Oryzias latipes: one gene and its partner. The protein of the gene in region 1 interacts with the protein of each later gene in a biochemical or structural test. Links are inferred from orthologs where the notes say so. Each region holds a gene or a part of one and is shown on either strand. Other genes may lie near its edges. The genes, in order: ptch1 and shh.

What was found.
Region 2: the proteins of ptch1 (region 1) and shh are reported together in a solved structure, tested with the Homo sapiens proteins (5 studies listed by BioGRID and IntAct, with this or other methods). The link is inferred for Oryzias latipes from reciprocal best matches to the Homo sapiens genes PTCH1 and SHH.

The regions. Positions count from the first base shown.
Region 1 is NC_019867.2:8,902,113-8,906,670, forward strand, and holds the start of ptch1 (protein patched homolog 1), read left to right. Parts: upstream 1-1,626; 5' UTR 1,627-2,016; coding exon 2,017-2,187; intron 2,188-3,312; coding exon 3,313-3,505; intron 3,506-4,558.
Region 2 is NC_019878.2:19,521,873-19,526,154, forward strand, and holds the start of shh (sonic hedgehog protein), read right to left. Parts: upstream 2,986-4,282; 5' UTR 2,647-2,985; coding exon 2,347-2,646; intron 1-2,346.

The DNA of each region.
Region 1 (4,558 bases):
GCGCCATCACGTTTGCTGAAGCATCTTCGATCGATGTAGACAGGGGAGTTAGGGTGCTGCTGCTCATGTCTGGGTAAAGGAATAGCCAATCACAAAAGTGTCTCCGCCTTGTCTAGTTTGATTGACAGACAGACCCATTCTCCTGAAAAAGCTCTTCATGAAATAAATCAGCCATTGTGAAAAACAGCAACATGAAATAAAAACAAAGCTACTTTGGAAAATATTGATTTTGAAATCCGAGGTTCTGAAAAAAGACGTAAAATTATAATATATTCCACATGATTAAAATGAATATATTTAAAATGCTGTTTAAAAATAATGAACATGTTTTTAAAGCAAAATGAAATATATTGAATAATACAATGGCTAATTTAAAATCAGTGTGCAGGTTTTTCACAATTTCATGATCTTTTTATATATTTATGAGAGATTTATTGGTTGATTGTGTATTTGCATGACGTCATATTTATTTATTGAATTAAATATTTATTTATTTACCGGGAGCCAGTTTAGCTCGTGCTGGTTTGCGGCGCCTTCCGTCCGTGAAACCCGGGTTCGACTCCAGGCTGCTCCCTGTTCCCTTCTCTACCTCTGCCGGTTCCAAGCCCGGTTTGAGAAGGTTGCGTCAGGAAGGGCATCCGGCGTAAAACATTGCCAAATTTACCATGCGACTCGTTCGCTGTGGCGACCCCTGATGGGAGAAGCCAAAAGTGGAAGAAATATTTATTTATTTAATTATGAACAGTATAGGACTCCATATCTTTCACGTCTAGTCTGTACCATTATGGAGGTTGCGCATCAAGTTACAGTGGTTCAAGAGGAGGTTCTATAGCATTCTGTGGTGTTTTTAACAGTATGAGAACATTAAGGCTGAAGGACAAACTTTTAAACAGTTTCCACATAAATGAGTGGGTAAAAGTATGGAAAGCAAAAGTGGCACAAAAGTGGCACAACTCCATATTGACTTTCCATACTTGTCCAATAAGATGTACACTCATTGAAAGTGTGTTCTTCAGCCTTACTACGCTGAAAATGATCAAAACATCACATTTAGCATTTTGTGCCACTTTTGCTTTCCATACTTTTACCCACTCATTTATGTGGAAACTGTTTAAAAGTTTGTCCTTCAGCCTTAATGTTCTCATACTGTTAAAAACACCACAGAATGCTATAGAACCTCCTCTTGAACCACTGTAACTTGATGCGCAACCTCCATAATGGTACAGACTAGACGTGAAAGAAGGGGGGGAAAAAGGTTTAAAACTTCACTTCAGACATTCTTCGGGCGTCGACGACGAACAGACCCAAACTTTCGCCTCAGACCCGGGGTCCTCTTTGAGAAATGCCTTGTTTTATGGACCCGAACGTACCGAGTGGTTCGGCTCCGGTCGAGCCTTCCCTGAAGTCGGAGATGCACACACATGAGGTCCGCCCGCCTGGGTGGTCTCTCTACTTTAGTGAGCTGTTGCTAAGCAGCTAATAATAGTCGTGTTTGCTGAGTAATTTTTGCCCTTCTGGAACCAATCAGATCCAAGAAAGTCCTGCAATCTGACAGCCCCAGAGGCGGGATCTGGAGTATTTTTCCCCGACTCCCCTCCTCCTTCTCTGCCTCCAAATGGAGAGAGGTCTCTTTCTCCCCTTCTATTGAATCTCAGAGTTGGCCGTGACGCGCGGCCCAGGGGAAGACTGCAGAGATCTCATCAGAATGCTGCGACCATCGAGCCCTCCAAGCCGAAGACTCGTGTATGGGAATCCCGTTTCTGCACGCCGCGCTTTCTGAAAGAAACCTTCAACTTTTCCCTGAGGATCGGTGAATGCGGTGAGCGCGCTGGAGACCTCCGGATCACGCAATGTTGGGATGGAAGGCGCAGACTTTGACTCGCCGTCTCCAACTGGAGTATGAAGTCCTTCTTCACGGGTGTGAGAGTGAATCTCCGTTGCCTTGGGAAATCGCTACACGCTTTCGGGGATATACTATAAAGTGGGAAACGGTAACCACCGCGCAGTCCCCGCAACATGGCCTCGGCTGCTAATGCACCCTCCGAACAGGAAAACAGAGACCCTGATCGGCCGAGGATAACGCGGAGGAACAGGGGGGACTATACCCGCAACACACCGCTGGATTTGGAGTATTTACAGCGACCGAGTTACTGCGATGCGGGCTTTGCGTTGGAGCAGATCTCAGAGGTGCTCTTTTCTCCTCTTTCCCTCACCAAAATGAGAGCTTCTTATTGTGCCGGTTTCTTTTTGCGTTTCACCAACAGACAGAGGGGTCAGTCTGTGCGTCCCGTCTGTGGAAGGTAACGGGACGGGCTGGGCAGGGAGGGGTGGTGCTGGTTCAAATTTTAGCCAATTTCCTGCCTGGTGTTGGTGCACCGTGGCTTCTGCGTTAACCTGCGGGACTCTGCCCCCCCACCACCACCACCAAGCCTGTGCGCTTCAACACGCAGCTCCCGCCCGCCCGCAGCTCACCACATCCCCGCGCTGTTTCGTAACAAAGCCCCCCCACACACGTGAGGGTGTTTGACAGTCGGGAGATGGGCAGAGGCGGGGGATAGAAACCCATGTGGCTGCCCTCTTCCGTTCACAAATATCGTGGATACCCCCCACCCCCCTGTGACGGCTCCTCCGCTCCCCACGTTGGCCGGAACACGCGAGCAGCTGGACGCGCTCAGGCGCGTGTGCGTGCATGTGTGCGCGCGCGTGTGTGGCATTTGTGGGTTTGACCACATTCAAGATACTTGATATCTGTAGTTGATGAGCTGAGTAAGAGCCACCTCAGGGGTCGAATAGTCTTTTACTCCAAAACACAGACGGAGATGTGTGCGCATTTACGCATGCTGGTTAGTTTGACCAGCCATCTTCATGACACTCCAAATAGAAGCACAACTGACAGATTCATCTTTTTTATTATTATTATTATTATTATTATTTAATCTCCTTTCATCCATATTTGAGGTGCAGACGGAAACCAATGTTGGTTAGTCCCTTTTTCTTGAAGGGTGTCCAGGCTGTGTGTGGGCGATCTGAAGAGGATGATGTTACTATTAGTCCTAAAGTATAAAGTTGTGGTTTATATGTTACTGATCTGCAGTGCTCACTCCAGGGAGCCCTCAGTGGTTTCCACCACAGCAGATCTTCAGGTTAGCACAGTATGTCTGTGTTCCAACAAGATCTCCTTGTCTTGTTTTGCCTGGATTGAAGTTAACTTCACAGATGTGCTTGTTTTTGTTTCTGGGCCTCACCTGTTCAGGTAAGTGTGGTGTTTTTGGGGCTGTGATCGACAGTAACATCAGGATTCTTGTCTTACAGGGGAAGGCGACTGGGAGAAAGGCACCTCTGTGGCTCAGAGCGAAGTTCCAAAGACTTTTATTCAGGCTGGGCTGTTACATACAAAAGAACTGCGGAAAGTTTTTGGTTGTGGGGCTCATGATTTTTGGAGCCTTTGCTGTGGGCTTAAAAGCAGCAAATTTGGAAACAGATGTGGAGAAACTCTGGGTGGAAGGTAAGATACTAAAGTGTTATCTTCATTATAAGTTTGCATGTAACCTGTTTAGTTCTTGCTTAAATGCTGAGATGGAAAAGTCTGTTAGAAGCTAGGAATAAATAAAGAGGGTTATTTGTTGTCAGATCCCACAAGGAGACTTTGAAAATCATTTTTTAGCTTTTCAAACTGTGCAAGAAGCAGCAGTAACAGCCTTCTGGAGAAGGTTGTAATTAAGCCCATAAGCATCCTTTGGTTACAAAAAAAAAGTTTGGTCAAAGCCGCCATTTTGTAAGAGTGTGTGTGTCGGCCCCCAGCAGTTCAAGGCTCAGAGGCTGTGTGTGGTCCTGTTTTGGACAGCTCTCAACTTTCCAGAAAGATGTGTCTCCGGTTGCAGAGAAAAAAGCAGAATCTGGACAGAAGCTGCTGTTTTTAGGCTGGATCTCCCACTTATTATTTATTCCCCTTTTTTTGCTTTTAATGACAAAAAACAAACAAAACAAAAACAATTAAACTTTAGAAAAAAGCTGTGTGCATGGGTTGTGCTTTGATGGAAAGGGGTTGAGGGCTAGGGGGCTGTGCTTTTCTCCTTTCCTTTGATCTGCATTCCTCTGCTTATGGCTGAAGTCAGCAATAGGAGTCATGAATGGAGGAGCAGATTTTGAGAAATTAAACAGAAAAAAGGGGAAGCAAATCAAAAGATTTGTTTTCTGAATGCGACTTTTGCTTACATAACTTTTTTTTAAAAAGTAGCTGCAGAAGTAAAGCAGGGTTACTCCTACAATGTTTCTAGCAGCCCATCTCCTCCCCAGGTTAGCTGTTCTCTCCATCCTGCAAGTGTGTGATAGACAGCTTCCTCTTCTAATCTTTTTGCACCCTTTTAGTCAGTTTGGCAAAAGGGATTCCTTCAAGAGAAACTTTTTAGATTAAACACACTGGATTCCCCTTTTTCCACTGTGTTCATATCAAAAACCAAGATGAATTTAAACTAAAACCTACCTAAACATTAACAGTGCAAACTAGAGCTGTACATTAGAAGAAAACTTGCGATGTGCAATATTAGTGATCGGTACT
Region 2 (4,282 bases), on another chromosome or scaffold:
GAAGGAAAAACGTTCATTATCCTCTCCGGCAAAGTCCTGAAACGTGACTTGCTTGCTTAAGTTGAGGTGTTTTTGGATGCTGACTGACAGACCTTTGGAGATCTGTGAGGGCGTGCAGAAGAGCATCTCTAAACGCTTCATTCAGAAAATTCTATGACAACTGCTGTTTTATGAGGGCTGTTTCACTCGCAAAATGCACTAAAACAACTAGAAAACAAGTTTTGCGCACTTTTAACATGGAACAAAGCGGTGCAAAGCTTTATCCTTTTATTAATTCATCAGGTCGTGTGCCACGAATCAAGCCAAATTCTACTCAGCCACCATGAAGCCCAGCGGGGCGCTTTGGACCGCTGGGCTCCTCGTAAAGTTGTTCAACAGCCTGCCCACTTAATCTTCTCACAAATGATTGGGTTAAAGGAAACACTTGTCAGCTACCTGTCAGTGCAAACAAACTCCCATCTCATCTCTACCTTTACAGAATGGATAAACACGAAAGAAACTTTTATGAGCCATTTAATCTCCTGTAAAGCGTGAAGACCGAAAAACAGCAAAAGATAATTCCGTAATTCAAAAATCAAAAATAGTGGACAAATTAAAAAATAAAGAAGTGCAGTTCTCTAAAAGAAACAACGAAAAACGATGCCCACAATGATCAGATCAGATTGTGGAAGACATGTAGAGAAAATAAATAAAAACTATCTGAAAACTTGTGTAAAGCAAACCAAATCTGCTGATAACTTTCCTGGGGGCGAGCTGCTCCTCCTTCAAAAACACAGTCCTGGCCAGACTTCAGTGAGCTGACTCATTAATTTATTTACTGCACACATCTAACCGAGCTCCTGAAGGCACGTGCCTTACTTCATGTACAACACCTGTTTTCTGAAACACCAGATAAGGAGAGGAGCCGGTCTTTCTGCGTGCGTAAAATCCCGCGCGTAAAAATCAAGTGGCACAAAGCCCAAAACAAAGCAAAAACGTTGCGACAGCTTAAATCTCCATGTGATTATGCTTATGTCATTCACTACTGCGTTCCCCTCTGTTTGGATTTGCATGGTTGAATTTGATATTGCTCTGCTGTGAAATGCACGATGACGCAGGAATAACCTAGTTTAACTTGCGCCGACCCCCGACTGACCAAAAGTTCAAAGTTTATATTGAGTTCCTTTTACACGCACAAAGAGTTGTTGAATGAGGACTGGCTAGTGAGGCGCCAGCCACAAACGACTCAGCAATAAACAGACTTAAACGTGCATTTTAGCCACTCATCCACGTGGACGCGCCCTGCCAGTGCAGCAGGTGGAACATTTTCCAAAGAGTCTTCAGATTGAAGCAGGTGCTTCTATATATGTTTCTGTTCTTCTAATATTCGAAATCACCTCCCGGGCCAGTGATTTCCTCCCCACGAGTGAGACCCTCGAGGCGTCTCACACAGAGGATGAGGGGAGCGCAGGGTGGGGGCACGCGGAGAACGGACGCACGGTGAATATTTTATCAGGCTCATGCGCATGCATGGTTCAGAGCTTCATCACAACCTGCGACGCCATCATCACCACCGGCATTTCATTCTTACTGAGTCAATATCACCCAAGCGGCGTGAATAATTCACCAGGATGGGAGTGCTAAAAAGTCACACTGGAGCGACGCGGCATCCTGCAGAAACCACTGCATCTTTCCACTGTATCGCGTCTTCCTCTCTGCGCTGATTTGATCACCAACGCGCTGCATCAGGAGGGAGCAGAGAAACACATGCCATCCTGATCCAGTCCTGAAGTCTTGATGAAGCTAAAGAAACTGTGCACAAATCCAGCGCAGCCAAACAGCAGTTGGTTGAGGATAATTGTGCGAATGAGCTGCGCCATGTGTTTTGAAGCGGCGCGCAAACCCGACGTTCATGGCTGTTATTACAAGAAAAGGCGCATAAATGAGCCGCAGCATCCAAACAAGCCCTGTATGTAAGTTAGTATGAATACGCGCGTGTAGAGCAACAAATCAGGCTTCATAGAGATACAAATATAGATGTGAATATAGATGTGAGGAGAGGGGCGCATTAATATTTTATATACACTGTCACAACCATGCAGGCCGAGTGTCCTGACTGTTCTCCTGCACATCACTTCTCTGGATTTCAATGCTCGCTTCAAGCCCGCAGCGTTTCCAAACTCCCATGCTGGTGCATAAAGTGCATCTGCTCTCACAGTGAAGTTAAAAGGCTCAGTGTGAAGAGTTCAGCGGCAGGAACAACACACTTCACTTAAGGTGCGCAATCCAGACCGACAAGGAGGTTGTTGCAGTGCGCCGGGATGGTGCGTTAGGAGAAGAGGGGAGGAAATGGTTCTGTCTCCTTACCTGAGTCATTAGCCTGTCGGCTCCGGTGTTCTCCTCATCCTTGAATATGATGTCTGTGTTATAATTGGGAGTCAGCTCTTTAAATCGCTCGGAGTTTCTTGTGATTTTGCCTTCGTATCTGCCGCTTGCCCCGAGGGTCTTTTCCGCCACGTTGGGGATGAACTGCTTGTACGCAAGAGGTGTCAGCTTCTTCGGGTGTCTTCTTCTGCCGTAGCCCCTTCCCGGTCCGCAGCCCATCCCAGAAGACACTAAGGACAAGCAGAAGAGGCCGACCAAAACAAATTTGGCCCAGAGTAGCATTTTCTGTCCACCCTCCTGTCCTTTAAAGATCTCAAACGAGTCACCGGTGCTGGTCTCAGCCGCGCGTCTGTCAGGGCTCTCGCTCCGTCCTTGTCTCGCCTGGTCTCTACCGCGGCAGGTGCGGAAATGAACGCCTCAGACTAACGCTAATAACGGGGCACATCGAAAGAGGGGTTGGAAGAAAAAAAGTAGTAAGGGAATTATAAGCCACGGGATCTCTAGTCGAGCTGCAGCGTGTGTGAGCCGACCGCCTTTAATGCTTTGTATTATAGCACCGATCTATATAGCAGGGGAGGGACTAGACAAACCCTCCTGATGTTGTCCTGCACACACACGCGCGCGCGCACACACACACACATTAAAAAAAAATCTTAAAAGATTTTTCCCACCTGGGGGTTAGCCTCCGCTGCGGGGAGGAGGGGCTCCTCCATGGGAAAACATCAATTATAAACCGTCTTTTTTCACCCTCCCTCCCGTTTTCCAGCTTTCACGAAACACACACACACACACACACACACACGCAGAGGAAGCGCAGACAACTTGCACAATGCTGTGCTCAAATCTGAAGCGGCGCTCTCTTGGATGAAGTGACTTCAACGCGTGCGCTTGCGCGCGCCTGTGCGCATTTATGGCCGAGTGTGCTCCCGGCGCGCGCATGCACACACCTGGATTTGCAGTGAAAAACAAAAATAAATCAATAAATGCATTCAGTGTAAAAAATAAAAAGGAGCAAAGATTGGCATTTGTTCTAACCGACGTCCTGGCATGCAGAGGGCTTTAAAGCACAGAGATAATTAACCCATAACAGGATTTTCTTTCTATCAGGTGATCTAAATTCTAAGAAAAGTGAGCAAAGTGACTTCCAGAGTGACACTGTTGTCTGTGGTAAATATATAACATAAAACGTTCCATAAAAAGAAAGATGTAAAAGCTTTTTACTCCATATTATTCAAATAAAACTAATTAGGAATGCCATCTGTAATGTCACATTCAGATGATAAGTAATGTAAGGAAAATAAAATATAATTGACCCAAAGACAGAAATAAAAAAATATTAATGAGCAAATCTAGCTCTTTAAATCTCAGTTTGGCTATTCTCCAGCATGGTGCACCTCTCATGGTGCCATGCTGGAACAACCAGTGAAGGTGAGACCATACTTGCTGCACAATTACCAAATTTTGATTAAAACAAACTGCTTCCAGCATCACTTTCTCAGTTGTCAAAGAAATTCTAAACATTTTCTCATCAGAAATATTTCTGCAGCTGCTTTTGCAGAGGTGCTATTCAAACACAGCAGTGCTGGGAGTTTACAGTTCCCTGAGGGACACCGCGTGGTACTATTTGGCTCCGGGTCAGAGTGTTGGTTCAGGTGTCGCAGCTCTGAGATCAATCCTGATGTGACACACAAACTCCTTAAAGCCACCGAGCTGAAAGGAGGAGGTGGTGAGAGTCCTCATGTGAATGATCCATGGGCAAAGTGTTGTAATAACAAAAGCAACAACAGGGAAAATATTAGAGACTGAACTGTATTGCTTCTAAGTGACAAAATGTGATGTGGAATGACATGAATAATACAGAAAATGCAATGAATAATGCAGCTCCGAGAGCTCGTAGTGCTGATGGGTTTGAACTTGA